Lytechinus pictus: one gene and its partner. The protein of the gene in region 1 purifies or fractionates together with the protein of each later gene. This does not show direct contact. Links are inferred from orthologs where the notes say so. Each region holds a gene or a part of one and is shown in the gene's direction. Other genes may lie near its edges.

Region 1 (8,349 bases):
CACAAAAGTTCCTTTCAAAATTAGAGAAGGAATTGGCATTACGGAAATATTTCAAAGTTCCATGCCTTCATACAAAAGTCAAAATATGGTGTTTGGTGTGTAAAATTCGATAAATATCAAAACTTATTCAAATTGATCCTATGACCAAAAATACACTTGCTCAATTGCTTTGGTCACACCGGCGAAATCTACTACTCCAGGGAGGGATGGGGGCAGTGGCGTAACTACGGGGGGGGGGCATGGGGGGCACGTGCCCCCCCCCCCCCCCCCAATCGGCTGGCCCCCCAAAAAAACGAGGAAAAGGAGAAAAGGAGGGAGAAAGGAAGAGAAACGTAGTGGGGAAAAAATAAATTATTGTTCATTATATTGTTTTATTATATTATATTATGTTATATTACATAAGAAGCAGTTTTTCATCACTTTATGAAACATTATTTGCTCAGGGCCTATGTCTTCATTGTTCCTTGTGCTCGCATAGACTGTTTAACGAGATATATAATCCTGTTGTACTAAAACCTCCCGTTTTCAAATCAATATACTGTACACCAAATATATTTCCTCGCAATTCGAGTTATTATTGTTTAATGTAGTGACATTTGCTTCTTTTTCATGAATACTTAAAGCGATTGCCCTATTTTAAGGTATTAATATAAAACATTTCCTGTCCGTGCTAATGTTCGCATTAGTTGATTGGTGAGACGTCTGCTCTTCATGAATTCCTAAAATCAGTCCTTAAAATGTCAATTTTTCTGATCTCAATATCAAAAATTTTCAGCTCGCGCTTCGCGCTCGCATCATTTGGTTAGTGAAATACGTACGGTCTTAGTGAATTCCTGCAAACAAGCCGTAGAATGCCCCTTTTTCAGGTCTGAATTTCCTAAATTTTCAGCTTCGCGCTCGCAGTATTTGATTAGTGAGATACGTATGACTATGACAACAAAAAGTGCTTCATGTGTTTAGATGTAATTCTAACAAAATCAGCAAAGGATGGCACTAGTACTAGATGACTATGCTGAGATATGTATGCACTTAATGGATTCCTAAAATATCCTAAGATATTTTTGCTGGTGCCCCCCCCCCCCCCCCAATGCCGTGACCCACGGTACGCCACTGGATGGGGGTGTCAAGAATGACATGAAGATTGTGAGTAAAATCAAGCTGGATCAAGGAGAGAAACAGACCTTCTTACAGACGATGTAAAAGGGGGCATAAACTTCCGAAAGTATATACAAATGCATAACTTGTAATTTTCCAACTTTCAATCGGTCTAGATAACATGCGAAATGGATTTTCTGTGTTCGGGGGATGGAATGTCACAAACGAATATAGTAATATGCGTCTAAAACTATATACATCTAGTGATCAGAACCCTTTAACATTTTATTGCAAGAATCGATTCCATTTGATTTCTGTATTTAGCATGCCCCCCCCCCCCCATTACTGGTAAACACTCATGGCATTCTTGATTTATTTTGGCTCATGAGTGCTGTTAAATCATCGATAACAAGACAACAATATGCCTTCTTTTTCAACCCCTTGATCTTTCAAGGCAAACAATCTTCGTATGGATTAGAGTTCCAATCTCCTTCATTTCTTTTTATTTTTGCTTGTCAGGTTATTTTATTTCAAATATTGCTCTTTTCAGAAGTGATATATTTTATTCATTCATTCAGTCCTTCCTTCATTTATTTATGATATTTTTATCATTATATATATATATATATATATATTGATTTATTTTATTTCCATTTTTCGGATCTTTATTTACATATATATAATTTTTAGTTTTTATCATTTTGTGAAGGTATGAATTTATTGTCATTGAGTCATTGAAAAACTGCCAAACAAATTGGAGCGTTTCTTTGCCTTACTCCCCCCCCCCCACCCCATGTCCTCATCACGTTTACTTTAGCACAAGCTCGTTTCAGATACAATATCTTTAATATGGGACTATAATAGGCGTTTTCGGATTTCAAATATTCTCTATTTTACCTTCACCAATTTCCTCCAAAAATTCACCAAAATGATTCCAAAACTTTTCGGTTGCTGATAAAGCATATTTCATATTGTGTAATGAATTCTATTTTAAAAGAAGTGTGCACTTACGAGTTATACCAATCTTGATGGCGTGTGCATAGACGGACCGACCGTTCTTGTCTCTGTAGTTCCAGTCCAATCCCAAATCATCTGGTCTAGAGAGGAACGTCTTTACGAGCAAGAGATCCATCGACTCGACGGCCTCAAATAGCTTCTGCCGATAAAATTTCTTGAATGTCATATTTGCCAGTTGTCTGCTTTTCCCTGCTTTATACTGCTTTTTACTCCAAAGACTTATTTAGAGGCCTCTTCCTCAGGAAAAATGAAGAAATATGACAGCCCTCTACAAATCAATTGATGATCAAGTTCATAATTGTTTCCAGTTCTTTTAATAATGTGTATTAAACTCCCTTTGAGGTCTATTCATTCACTTGACAAATTGAGGCGGCGTAAAACAGTGCAATATTTTCTGTTGTTTACATTCCATGATTAAACCCCTTCACGAGCGAAGAATGGCACATATAACTGGAACTGATAGACATTGCATTATCATCGATGTAGATTTGCACTTGTCTCCAGTGAACAACAACATATCTCAGTCGATCAAAGATTTAAGAGGGTTCCTTTAATCCAATCATGGACCCATGATCCAACGTCGAATTGATCTCTACCTCGGAGAAAACGTTTCGCCAACATTAATATTGCAGGTATCCATTATAGTCGTACACATCTAAACACGTCAGCCGCACAAACCACATTGTAGTCATGTCATTTCTCAGTATACTAGTATCCATAACAAGAATTATCTCTTTATATCATCCACGAATCTGACAAAATTCTGTGAAGCTTTTCACACGAAGCTTTATACAACTGATCGTTATATTAAATGGGTCTGATACAAAGGTATAAACCGAGCTCCGCCTAATAATCATAATCGAGCAATGTTTATCAATCATGCCGCTGGAAGTACCAGCAGCCGGCACAAAGCGAGAAAAGAGTTCAACAAAAATCATTTGAAATGGGGAAATGGAAGCAGAAAATGCAATTATTTGTTCTTCATTGCATGGCTGGATCTGAAAAGCTTCGGGCCTTGGCTATTCAATATTGTATTAGTCATGATTGTGTGCTGATATTAATAATTATCGTATATATTGCCTAAGTATTATATTCTGTATGCGGTGAATAATTAATTATCGTATGTTCACTGCCTACTATGGGAAGATTCTCAAGAATAAATCTTAATAGAAATGGGGAAAATCATTGTGAATCAATAGGATTTTCTCATGTACCTGATATCCTTCTGTCATCCAAAATTATGCAAACAAAAGTGCACAATTAGGGAAACTCTAAATTAATCTACTCAAATTTTAATGAAATAGGTATAGGCCTATAATGCCAGGGCGGCACCCGATCGAATTTATGTATTCTGTGTTCTTGAATATTGACGAACTGAATAGATTCTATGTATTATCAATTTTGTTTAATTTTGACAATAATTCATTTACTGTGTTTATAATATATTTTAATTGTCCCTCCCATACTTATGGCTGGGTAATTTTGTCTCTGATGTTCACACATATAGTTAACCTTATTTATTAAAATATAAACACCTTTGTGTCATTATCATTCTCACGTACCAAGTGGTATAATGTTTACTAAAGATTAAAAACATAACATAATAATGGCTTAATGTTAGAATATCTATTAAAAAGCCTCTTGTCACAAATTGTTATTCGAACGAATAGAATCCATTTATTTATTCATATTGAGAAAGAATCGTCTGATCTTGTTAATATAAATTCTCTAAATGTATCTTTATTACAAATTGGAATAGATTGTTTGGAGTGAACATGAAACAAAAATGAGTTAAAATGACGAATGCATTGGATCAGGGGGCAACGTTCCTTATTGTCTAATCTGTACAAATCAGGCTGAAAAGATTTTCATCCACAGTTTCCCCGATCGGCCTGTAAAGATTGTTGGTTTTTAAGGGGGGGAGGTAACATTAACTATTAAAGGGACCAAAGACTGATCGATGTTTTAAGTACATCTTAACTTAATTCTTACAAGCAAGAGAGAGTATATCTAATAAAACCTAAATAAAAAAAATGCAAGAGCAAAGTGCGAGCTCAAAATGTTGGATATTCCATGTATTCAGACCTGAAAGTTTAATTTTTTTTTATAATGATGCGAGCGTGAAGCGCGAGCTGATTTTTTTTTTTTTTTTTTTTTTTTTTTTTTGGGGGGGGGGTATACAGGCCTACTTAAATTGGGCATTCTGATGATCTTTTTGTAGTCATGAACAGGATGCGTGTCTTGCTAAACAATTAATGGAATGCAAATAAAGGAGGAAAATAGTTAAAATACAAGGTCTGCTTACCGGAAAAGGGGACGATCAATATTGTTCTTGGAATTGATAAAGATTATACATTTAGCCAGTCAATCAAATAATAAGAGTGCGAAGCAAGCACGAACTGGAAATTTGTGATATTGTTCAGCACTCATTTTCTTAACATGATGCGTGTCGATCTCGCTGAAAAAATAATAATGGAAACTTGAAAACGAAAATTTTCAAGCCCCATGCATGTTATCGTCTTGAGCAAAGTATATTGACCTGAAACTTTATTTTTACAATCCCTGTTTTATTCAACTTTTCTCATCCTCTTATCTTTTTCATTAAATGAGGAAAGGAAAGAAAGAAGAAAGCAGAGTATATTATAATAATAATAATAATAATAATAAAGGTAGTTACCCATGGTAGCCACTTCAGTTCCGAAAAGTGTTCTCCCAGCGGGCCCTGCTATTATTACCCGGCTAAGCTAGGCTACCTTTTCGGTGCACACAGCTTTTTTAAGGAATTACTTCCTGCCAGTACCCATTTACCTCACCTTGGTCGAGTGCAGCACACTGTGGATGAATTCCTTGCTGAAAAAAATTACGCCATGGCTGGGATTTGAACCCACGACCCTCTGTTTCAAAGTCCGGAGACTAATTCACTGGGCCACGACGCTCCAAAATGGGAGATCTGAGTCAGATAATCAATGAATGTTCTTATGTTCACCCCCAATACCCCCCCCCCCCCCCCATACACCCATCTGCCCCACTGATCTCTCCACTAGTGGAGAGATCAGTGATCGGCCCCCTACAAACTCTGCGCTGCAAAGATACCATAGTTGAAATAATAAGTAAAATAATTCGTCCCCTTTCTTCATTTTTTTTTATGTATTCGCTTCCGGATTTCTGGTTGGTTTACATTTTCCGAACTCGTAGTATTATTCGCCGAATAGACCTATAAGTGGATAAAACATGGCAGCACAACCTCTCGTCATAAGAATAAAAACACAACATGGAGAGGACGTTGATTGGACAGTGCAGCTTGGTCAATTGTCATTTCATGAAGTCTTGGTAAGGCCTAGATCTAAGGGTGTTTTGATCGGTTAAACTTTTCACTCGCTCTCACTCGGTCATCTTGGTCCGACATATTCATTTTATTGTCTTGTTTTGTACCTTACATTGGTTTTGATAATGTTGACGAGTGAGCCAGTGGCGGTATTAAAATGTTACAAAATTCACAAAAGATAGGATATTAAAACAAGCAAAAATAGGTACTTCCCTCAATTAGCAGTGAAAGTAGACTTTCCACACAGTCTCTATGTACCAAATCATGACATTTAATGTCAATGACATTTCCAATTGTAAAGAAAACAAAAATAGGGTGTCTGGAAAAAAAAAAATCTTATTTTAAGAAAATATCACATTTTCTTTGTGAATTTGAAGAGAAATAACCTTCAGAATGACAGAAATGTATTTTTTTTTTAATCCAATTATTGGCTACAAAAAAGAAGAATGAAATTGGGTAAATTTTCAGCATTTCCCTGCCCCTCAGCCCCTGGGCCTGCCCACTCATTCAATGAACAAGGTTATGTGTTATAACCTTGTTCTCAGTTAGTGAGTTACATCTCCATGTGTGGCAAATAAGGGTGGCAATTTTGGCTTATTTTCTCTTTTTTATGGGACAAATGCTTGATTTTCTTACACTGTCAGTTTCCAATACAGCTGTTCATCATATAACTTGGCTCTTATGTAAATTTGATTATTTAAATTATTTTTTCTGAATAAAAAATAGAGATTGAAAAATGTAAATTTTCTTGCCATATTACTTTCCACCAATAGAGGGTGTTCACAAAAATATGCCAAAAATTCAAGTTTTTGAGCGCTCTGTTGAATACAAAAATTACAAGTTACTAATGGAAATAAATTGCAACTGTATGGAAATTAGTTATTTTGGTCACGAAAGTGATATTTTAATGATTTTTTAAAGTGTGTGCTCAATACAGCATTGGCATACCATAGTCCTACCTGTAGATTCTCCACAGGCAGGATGGTTGCAGTGAACAGAAGCGGACTGAGGACTGTACCTTGGGGCATGCCCGGTGTGACAGGATTGCTGTTACTCATCTTTCCGTCAAGTATAACTTGTTGTGTACGCCCTTCAAGAAAGTCCTTTATCCATGAGAGTATTCGTCAAGAACAAATCAAGTGTTCTGTCCGTGCGAGTTGGAAAGTTGACAATTTGTGACAGTCCGACATCATTGAAGGTGGACTTCAATCATTCAGTGCAGCAGTGTATTGGTGACCGTCGATGGATGCAGTGTTCCAATTAATGTCGGGAAGATTGAAATCCCTGCTGACCCAGACTACTGCAGAAGGATTACTGATCGTAATCTGTTGGATTGCTTGGCACAGAGACTGAGCATAGACCATCATTTTTAGGAGGTCGGTTGGAAGACACAACAATGAGTGGCTGTTGGCCATAAATCTAGATCCTTGTTGCGATGATCTCACAGTCACAATTCAGTTGTACTTCACAGTCGACTAGATCATTCTTGGTGGCAAGTAGTCGATTTGACATTTTCCGAACCTAGAAATGTCTTTCCGATGAAGTTTTTTTCTTGATTCATGTTCCTATGGGGTCCTAGAACAAATTCAGCTTGGTTGCCCAAACGGCAACTTTGGGCAATTTTGCTAATTTGCATAAATCCAAAATGGCCGCCACATGCCATCTTAAAAACCTAAATTTTGAACCCCTTGCCCCAAAAGGATAAGGAATAACTCCTTTTAGAGGTTTAGGGTAGGGTAGAATCCATTTCTATTATCATTTTTACATTATAAGGTCATCTTCAGGTCAAATCCAAGATGGCCGCCAGATGCCATCTTGAAAAATTAAATTTGAACCCCTTTCCCCAGAATGATGAGTAACAACTTTGTTTAGGGGTTTTGGGGTGTGTAGAATCCATTTCTGCTATCTATTTTGCAATATAATGTTATCTACAGGTCAAATCCAAGATGGCCGCCATATGACGCCATTTTTATATTTTTAAATGTTAACTTTTGAACCCTTTGCCCCAGAATCATGAATATTAAATCTATTCGTGAGTCATTTGGTTTGTTGATTCATTTTATGTTGTAATTTTGCATAAAGGACAATCTTCAGATCAAATCCAAGATGGCCGCCAAACGCCATCTTGAAAAAAACTACTTTCCGAGGCTTATACGTGTAATGGCTAATATAAAGGGATTTCAGTAAGAACACTCGTTTCTTTTATTAATTCTCAAGTTTTAGGTCAAGGTGAAGTCACATCTGAGATGTCAGATTTCGACATTAGCTGCTCACCTTAGAATGAATCCTTTTAAGGTTTTGGCTATGATCCATTTCGTGTGTATTTTTATTTGTTTTAATGTCCATCCATACTCTTGTACTGAATAGGCTTTTAGTGTCTTATTTGAATTTGAAAGTCTTTTCTCCATGTTTTCCCTATATCAATGTGTCCAATGATTGGTAGGCATCAGTTCGTCTTAAAAGACGATGGTGTAGCGCTATAGGGTCTTACATTTTCGAGAGTGGCTGTAGAACTTAGCTCTAGAGTGGCAGTCTCTAGAGCAAATTTGTACAGGTGAAGGAGGATGGCACTGAGACAGGTATAGATAGAGATGCTGCCCTAGCCTTCCTCCTAGGTCTTTGGTCTGCCAAAAGCATTCTGATTATTTTCTCACGTCTTGACCCCTGTACTTATTAGCTCTCCATAGAATGGCGACTATCATCTACATCTTCATAAGTGTTAGTGTACATGCCGGCAAGTTTTATGTCACGTTTGCAGGTGTCTTTATGACGAAGGTGTGATCTACAAATGGGGTGAGAACAAGCACACAGCTCATCTTATCTTGGCGATGCGGTGAACATGCCCCAACCACATGAGGCGCCTTTGACTAAGGAACGAGAATTAGCCGGGGATGCCAGCACGTACGCTAAAG
Region 2 (8,048 bases), on another chromosome or scaffold:
GGGAATTTGTCAGCGAAAAGGAATTTATTCTAGCGAAACGAAAAGCGAGTCTAGCCTTTTATTTATAGCGAGGGGTACCAGAAGTGGGGTTTGCTCCTGCATAAAAAGTATTTTACCTCCTGGAACAGAAAGTTGTGCCGTCAAATATTAGTGACATGATATGAGCCCCCCGGGGGGCCACTTCCATTGACGAGTGGATACCATGCGCGACCATGGGGTCTTGAAAAGCACCCTAAACACGTAATTTCCATATTCTGAAAATGCACCCCTTAACAAGTATTGGCGTGTGAAACCCTACCCTTAACAAGTATTAGAAACAAAACGATACTCATGGCAAATATTCCCTGAAATGGGCCCCTAAACAAGTACAGGAATGTTTTATTGTTACGGGTCCTTCGGTCGTCGGCTTTACCTCATTTGGTTTAGTAGGGGTACGACCCCACCGGCTTCTACACCTCTCGCAAATCGGACTCTAAACACGAAGTGTTGGGGCAAAAAGGACATCCTTTATAAAACATTTTAATTTTGTTTTATCAACCCCGCAAATTTGACCCTAAACACGTAATTTTCCTAGCGAAATAGATACCATTTTTTCAATATTTTTGTGTTTTTGACACCCTTATCACGTTACGTACGTAACGTGCCCTATCGTGATAAAGACATCCTTTTTACGTGTTTTTTGGTCACGCATGGTATCCACTCGTCAATGTAAGTGGCCCCCCCCCCCCTCATACCCGGGGATTGCGTAGCCCATTTTGAGGGGGATATGACGTATTTATGGGGGCAAACTTTCGCCAAAGCTGCTTGTGAAGCGAGTAAGCAAAACGTACAACACAAAAATCCAATTTTGTGATAGATTTGACATAGGCCTAATGTCTAAAAAAGGCTATTATATTCATCCCTTTTTCCTTTCCCTTTCTGTCTTTTTCCTCTATTTTTCTTGGTCGTGAAACTTTTTTTTCGGTGGGGCATGGCCTCCAAACCCCTAGCTATCTGTATGCCAGTGGGCCACTTGGACTGCATGGGAAAGGATGGAGGTTTGCGGCCCCAAAATCCAAAACAGTGCCCTTAAAGGTCAAATCCACCCCAGAAAAAATGTTGATTTGAATAGAGAAAATCAAACAAGCATATCAACGCTGAAAATTTCATCAAAATCGGATGAAATTTTTAAGTTTCGCATATATGTATTTTTCAGAGAATAGAAAAACAACTAAGTGATGTGCAAATGGGAGATTCGATGGTGTCCCTCACTTACTAGATCCTTTGTTTTTTATTGTTTGAATTAAACAATATTTATACAGGGTTTTTCTTTTTTTTTAAAAGGCAACCGAAGTTCAAAGGCCATGGGATCTGGAATTTGACATGAAATGAGGGTCTTTATACTCTTGATTTGTGAAAACTGACGCCTGCATGGGGACCGTTTCATGAAAGAACTTGTCAGACGTTTTATCCGACAAGTTCAGGGGGGCGTTTCATGAAAGGACTTGTCGGACGTTTTATCCGACAAGTCCCATTTTATCCGACAGTTACCATAGTAACAGTACCTCATCATCATCATCATCATCCGTTTAAGTACAGTCCACCAGGGGAGCGTTTCATGAAAGGACTTGTCGGACGTTTTATCCGACAAGTCCCATTTTATCCGACAGTTACCATAGTAACAGTACCTCTCAGCCAATCAACATCAGAGAAAGATGTCAGATCTGACAACTTGTCGGATGAAAATGTTGATGAAACACTCCCCGGGTTGGTGTATTATCGTACTTGTAAAAAAAAAAAAAAAAAAAAAATAAATAAATAAATAAATAAATAAATAAATAAAAAATAAAAAAATAAAAAAAATAAGCCAATCAACATCAGAGAAAGATGTCAGATCTGACAACTCGTCGGATGAAAATCTTGATGAAACGCTTCCCTGAAATTATAGGGGCTTGGGGACGGGAGAGAGCGGGTATAATAGGTTACAGTGGATTATAATTGGGAACTGATATAACAGGCGTGAAGGGGGGGGGGGTGGCTTAAGGGCTGCACATAAGTAACCTATACTGCCGTACGTGAGTGCCCATGGGACCCCCCTACCCAGGTGCAGATATATCCTGATTAGATTTTGAGAGGCCGACTATTATGCAAAAATAAACAATATGGCCTCTAAAATGGTGTTGTGTCTTATCCGGCTGAATCGGTTCCCCCCATTTGTAATTCCTGCTTTTGAATTTGAACTGATGGGGGTGGTGGCTGCATGAACTTGATACCTCAAAACGATTTTTTTTTATCAATCATTTATTGGATTCCCACATAATTTGTTATTGCTAGACCTTTTTTATACAAAAACTGCAAAATATACACCAATTTAATTATTGAATTTGCTTGTGATCGACAATTTTCATGATAAACAACTGCAAAATCAGGTGAGTAAATAGTATGATTTTGATTAATTTAATTAAAATTTCAACCCTTTTATTTCTTCCTAATTGCTTAATATTGGAAAAGGAAAATTTCACACAAAGTTCAAAGTTGGTTTGAATAAAAAGAGAAAAATCAAACAAAATTGGATGTAAAATAAGAAAGTTATGACATTTTAAAGCTTTGTTAAATTTCAAAAAATAGTTATATTCACATCCTGGTCGGTATGCAAATGAGAGAAGACTGATGACATATAAGATTCGGTCTATATATCTATTAATCATTTCCCCTTACATTTGCTTTATTCCCCCCTTTTATCTTGGTCGTGATATTTTTCAAACTCTTATTTTGTTTTATTTATTTTATTTATTCATTAATATTAATTTGATTATTTGTTTGTTTATTTATTTATTTATTTATTTATTTATTCATTTATTCATATTCCACAAATTTTCAAATTACATTTAAAAATAAATTCTATTCCATCAATTGATTATAATTTATCATCATTATTATTATTTATTTATTGTTTTTGGGGAGGGGTTATGGCCCTCAAGCCAGGCCTCCATCTGTACGTAATAATAATAATAATAATGATAATAATAATAATAGTAATGATAATAATAATAATGTTAATAATAATAATAATGATAACAATAAGCGCCAAATCCACTCTGTAGATTGCTCAAGGCGCATAAAGAGCAAAGAGTTTAAAAAAAAGTTTTTAGAAGATTTTTAAAGTCTCGACAGACGTACGTTTTTTATGTCTTCAGGAAGGCTATTCCACAAAGTGGGACAAGCAAAAGCAAATGATCCCCCCCCCCTCAAGTGATACGTAAGTGATATGATGTCAAATATAACCATTTTTTTTTTGTAAATCATAAAAGCAGCTATACTTGCATGAAGGTGAGCATTGCAGTGGCGTATCTTGGACAAACGGCGCCCGGGGCAAGCGCTAAAATCGCGCCCCTTTCAATGCGAGTGTGAATGTTTTTTAATATTAAGACATTAATACGGAATATTCTAAGTTGTCTTTTTATCATAAACATGAAGCGTATCTAACTAAGGAACATGTTCACACTCTTTATAAGTGATGTGCAATGGATTGACGCTCAAGTATATGTGACGAGAGGTTATAGATCTTCCCCTTTAAGGACGTTCCACAGTTAAAATGAAATCCATGTCATTTTCACCAAACTTTGCACATAGATACTTTAGAACCTGAATATTCGAAATATGCAAAAATTAACATAGGTCCATGTGCTTGATTTTTTGCTATGGAGCTTCAAAGTTCACCCGAATGAATGTTCTTACGGATTGCGCATTCAAAAGAATTTGGCATTTTTAGACCTCGCAAGATCACTACAATGAGTTTAAACCTCTATTACTCAGTCAAAATACATGAAAAAGTCATCAAATTTCGCAAGAGAGTTTATAAGTGTATCGTTAGAATGGATAATCTATTTATAGTGCTATTTGTTTGCAATTTTAAGTCTAACAGCACTGTGAGTTCTTAAAAATGGCGTAAAACATAACAAAAACCCAATCTTAAAAATGTGAAATTTCAATAACAAACTACAAAAGTACAATAAATGCTGCACTTTATTCAAAATCCATGTCATTTTCACCAAAATTTGCAAAGTTGTAGAGGAAGGTATACCCAAGAGGTGCAAACATTAAAAAATAGGGCTTCATGTGCTTGTTTTCAAACTATCAGCATTTTCATTAGAGCAAATGTGCTTTTTAAAACACCAAAATGCGCCAAATGCTTTGTATCTATGAGAAGAAAAAATCAAAACCACTCTACCATTTATTTAAACTCGGGGTCATATTTGTGATTTTTGGCAGCACTGCAGAGTAAAGTATTTTAAAATTGTAAAGATGTTTTTTTTAAATGGTCCATGGAATAATTAAGGTTTTTTAGCTTCATAAACTAACGCATCGGATCTGCAGTTAGAGTGCAGATGATGAGAAAATTCAGTTCATACCCACAGCTAATTAATCACCTGTTCATTCATTGTGACGTCAGCGCGCGGAGTGTAAAATATGCGCAGATCATAATGCACACAAACATAACTGTGGAACGTCCTTAAACAAATTTAGGGGGGGGGGGGTGAAAAATTACCTAACTTCAGAAAAACCCAGTGCACTTCATTCGCTATATTGTATGAGCTAAAATGTGCAATGTTACCAAGGAGTTGGGAGTTTTGTGTTATGAATTTTAACTTCATAACCTGTGTACCATATACCTTCCACTTTATCATGTAGATTGTGCGCCCCTCTTTCTATCGCTGTCCGAAACTATCAAATTGATTTTTTAAAGATTTCTTTATATATAACATTAATGATAAAATCACTATTCGATGGTAATATTGACATTTTGTACATGGAAACTGAAAAAAAGTATGTGTGTGTGGGTGTGTGTGTGGGAAGGGGGGAGGGGGGCTCCAGTTCCGATGACTCATCCCCGGGACTCACCTTTGATATATGGCTAGCTCGGGAGACAAACCACTGTCTGAAGCAAGCCAGAGAGAGCAAGCGGTCTAGCGCCAGCTGTTGATGATATACAGCCGATTTCCCGAACATTCGTCCGTCCATATCTGATCGAAGCTGAATCAGAAGTATTGAAGCTCTGACAAAATGGTTGATTACAGCAAGTGGGATCATATTGAGGTAATATTATGTTCCGTTTTAGGTTTATCATTCGTGACTTTACATAATGTATTTTTTTGTGATGATTAAAATCATTTGCAAACAATTTCAAAGCCAGTCTTCATTTTCTTTATTGCAATTTGTTGAACCCCACCAATTTCAGTTTATGGGACTGATGTAAAGTGATTTTTGTGACTCTGACTCTGAGTCTGACTGAGTTTAGCTTGTGCCAAAGTTGTGTGGGGGGAGTGTTGCAAACGAGCGGACTTCATTTTTCATCAGGTTCGACAGGATTTTTTCCTCTCATATGTGAGTTTATTTAAATTTGGCACTGCACTGGCAATTTAAATTGGAAAAAAGACACAGTGACTGACTCACTGAGTAAAGCCTGTGCTTCAGAAGTTCAGTACCGGTATTGTATTACCGTAAGTAACGGTGTATTAACCGCACCCGTGTATTAACCGCACCCCCCATTTTCGGATGGAAAAAAAAAAAAAAAAAATCATAAAAAAAAATTTAATCAAACTTACTTTCTATCTCTAATATGCGTATTTAAGAAAGAGTCAAGAGCCAAAAAATATCGAACTTTCGAAGAATTACTGGTAAAAAATGATGGGAAATCAGCGCTTCGTCACTTATCTGCAAGTTGCCGATATTATTGGCCACTTCCACACTCCGAGTCACCTCACACACACACATATGGTACCGGTGTTCATTGCAAGTACCGATACCAGCATCAACATGGGGGCTCACCCATACGAGAAGATCGTTCATATCATATTTCCTGCATCACAGCCCCACTTTTGCTTTCAGAATTCTGTCTAGCATTCAATGTCTTGACATGAATTTTAGACAAGGGAATACGGGAAGGTTCAAGATACGAGAAATTTGCGATTTTGTTCAGGTGTTTTTCTTGTCTGCTTTGAACCACTACCGGTAGTTCTCAGTACGTGTGTGGCAGTATCTTACAGACAGCAAAATAGGAAAAAAAATGCTAGTACCGGTATACCGTATTTTCAATGGGAGCTCTGGGCGGGAATAAAGTGAATAATAATTAAAAATAAAAAGTCGGGAGGAGTGAAGATGGGGATTGAAGATTGATTTTGAGATGATGGATGATAGAGAGAAATGAAGGAAAGGCAAATGAAAGAAATTAATTGTCAAATAATACCAATAATTTGTCAAACAAAATAACTTCCACAGAAAGGTAAAGCGCCAGCTTACGTTGACGTTGCGATAAACATTACACATGCATGTCTTATTCGGCTAGCTGCACCGCGCTGTGCGATCGATTGGCGTCTGAACTTTGCCGCGATGACTAAAAAATGACAACAAAGACAGAGTCACACCATTAAAATAAGTCAGTTTCATGAAGGTAGGTGCGTTTGTTACCGTGATATAACTTTGAGGGACATTTACGGCAGATACCGGTAGTCATAGTTGCTTCCCTTTTATACCCGCGGCTCATACCCCTCTAAACGGGATTGCCCCAAGCGGCTACGCTCGGCCACCCGACGCGAGTTGAAAAATGGTAGTGGTATCGGGCTGAGATTGGCTTGGCTCAGACCTGTCACCGTGTATAAACCGCACCCCCGACTTTTGATTCTGTCCCGCCGAGAAAAAGGTGCGGTTAATACACCGTTACTTACGGTACTTTGTAAAACTAAAATGAAATGGTGCATGTGCTCACTGGTTCACCCCGACCATTCGCCATACAGAAAAATGTACGGGGTGGGACTGATCTGAGACCAGTGCCGCTAACACTGTCATTTCTAATGTAGGAACGCGCGAAGTAAAAGAGTCTGACTTACCAATTCTTGTGTTGACCCAAATGCAGATTTTGGTTCTACTTAAACAGGATTCCAATGCCCAATGAGTCAAATATCGTCCTTCAATTGAAGATTTCTTTCTAAATCGGGTAAAATCATAAGGAAATTTTTCCTTATTCTCGTCTGGTCCATAGTCTCCTACGTAAGTATTTCAGCACGCCCTCTTGTGCTGAATAAAAGAAAGCTAGCCACTGAACAGTGGCGACCACAGAGCTGGTTACAATAAGCTCCTACCTGTTTCCGGTGAAGCATAATAATAGGAAGCTCCGTGATCCGGGGACTGTAGTCTTTTTCTCACCAGACACCACTAACGTACCTAAGGGGCAGGGAGGGCAGACTGCACCCCCTGACGAGTCACAACTCATGCAAGGGACGTACCCCTGCCCCCCTGACGAGTCACAACTGATCCCTGTGACGAGCCACAAGTGGCCCCCTCTTTTGAACTTGAAGACCTTTTTTTTTTTTTTTTTTTTTTCAAATTTTTTGGCGGACGAATTTGCCCCCCCTTTGGAAAATCCTGGGTACGCCACTGCCTGACACTCAATATTTTGTTCACTATTTTTTTTTTACACAAGAATTATTGTTGTCACAGGCGGCGGAGGGGGGGGGTACACATTCAATACCCCTTAAATTTCAGGAGGAGGGGAGAGTTCCCCTTAATAGAAATAAAGAAGAAAAAAAACCAAAGAACAAAGACTGAAAAAAAAGTAAGAAATAAAAAATCAAAAGAATTAATTTACGCTCAAAAGAAAAAAGAAAGAAAGGGTAAGGGAAGAGGAAAACAGACAAATGATGCTCTGGATACAGTACTAGAAATATTATAGATAAGCCCCCCAAAATAGCCATTTGGAGTTTTTGGACTTTTTTATTCTTTAAACATGTTTATCTAGACGAAACAAAATTGCCAATCTGTCGAGGCTATCGAGACATGTTTACCAGAATGCATCACGAGTAGTGTTTCATCCATCGGGGTGGATGAACCTCTATGGCTTCGTGATATTTTTTTCTTTTTCGATTTGTCACGATCAAACACCATTGAACGAACCAAGAGTAGTGACGGTCACCGGAGGTGGAAAAATCGGTGAGTTTTTAGTCATTTTTCATATTATTTTCAGCAATTAGATCAAATTTGTTATATAAATTTATGTCAAGTATCACACTTGA

The links.
Region 2: the proteins of dual specificity mitogen-activated protein kinase kinase 5-like (region 1) and hsp90 co-chaperone Cdc37-like purify together in Homo sapiens (affinity purification with mass spectrometry; 3 studies listed by BioGRID and IntAct, with this or other methods). This does not show direct contact. The link is inferred for Lytechinus pictus from reciprocal best matches to the Homo sapiens genes MAP2K5 and CDC37.

The regions. Positions count from the first base shown.
Region 1 is NC_087249.1:19,536,391-19,544,739, forward strand, and holds the start of dual specificity mitogen-activated protein kinase kinase 5-like, read left to right. Parts: upstream 1-5,151; 5' UTR 5,152-5,343; coding exon 5,344-5,442; intron 5,443-8,349. Other genes in the region: short transient receptor potential channel 5-like, read right to left, coding at 2,107-2,278. UniProt on the Homo sapiens protein: Acts as a scaffold for the formation of a ternary MAP3K2/MAP3K3-MAP3K5-MAPK7 signaling complex.
Region 2 is NC_087263.1:6,061,477-6,069,524, forward strand, and holds the start of hsp90 co-chaperone Cdc37-like, read left to right. Parts: upstream 1-4,975; 5' UTR 4,976-5,043; coding exon 5,044-5,076; intron 5,077-8,048. UniProt on the Homo sapiens protein: Co-chaperone that binds to numerous kinases and promotes their interaction with the Hsp90 complex, resulting in stabilization and promotion of their activity. Inhibits HSP90AA1 ATPase activity.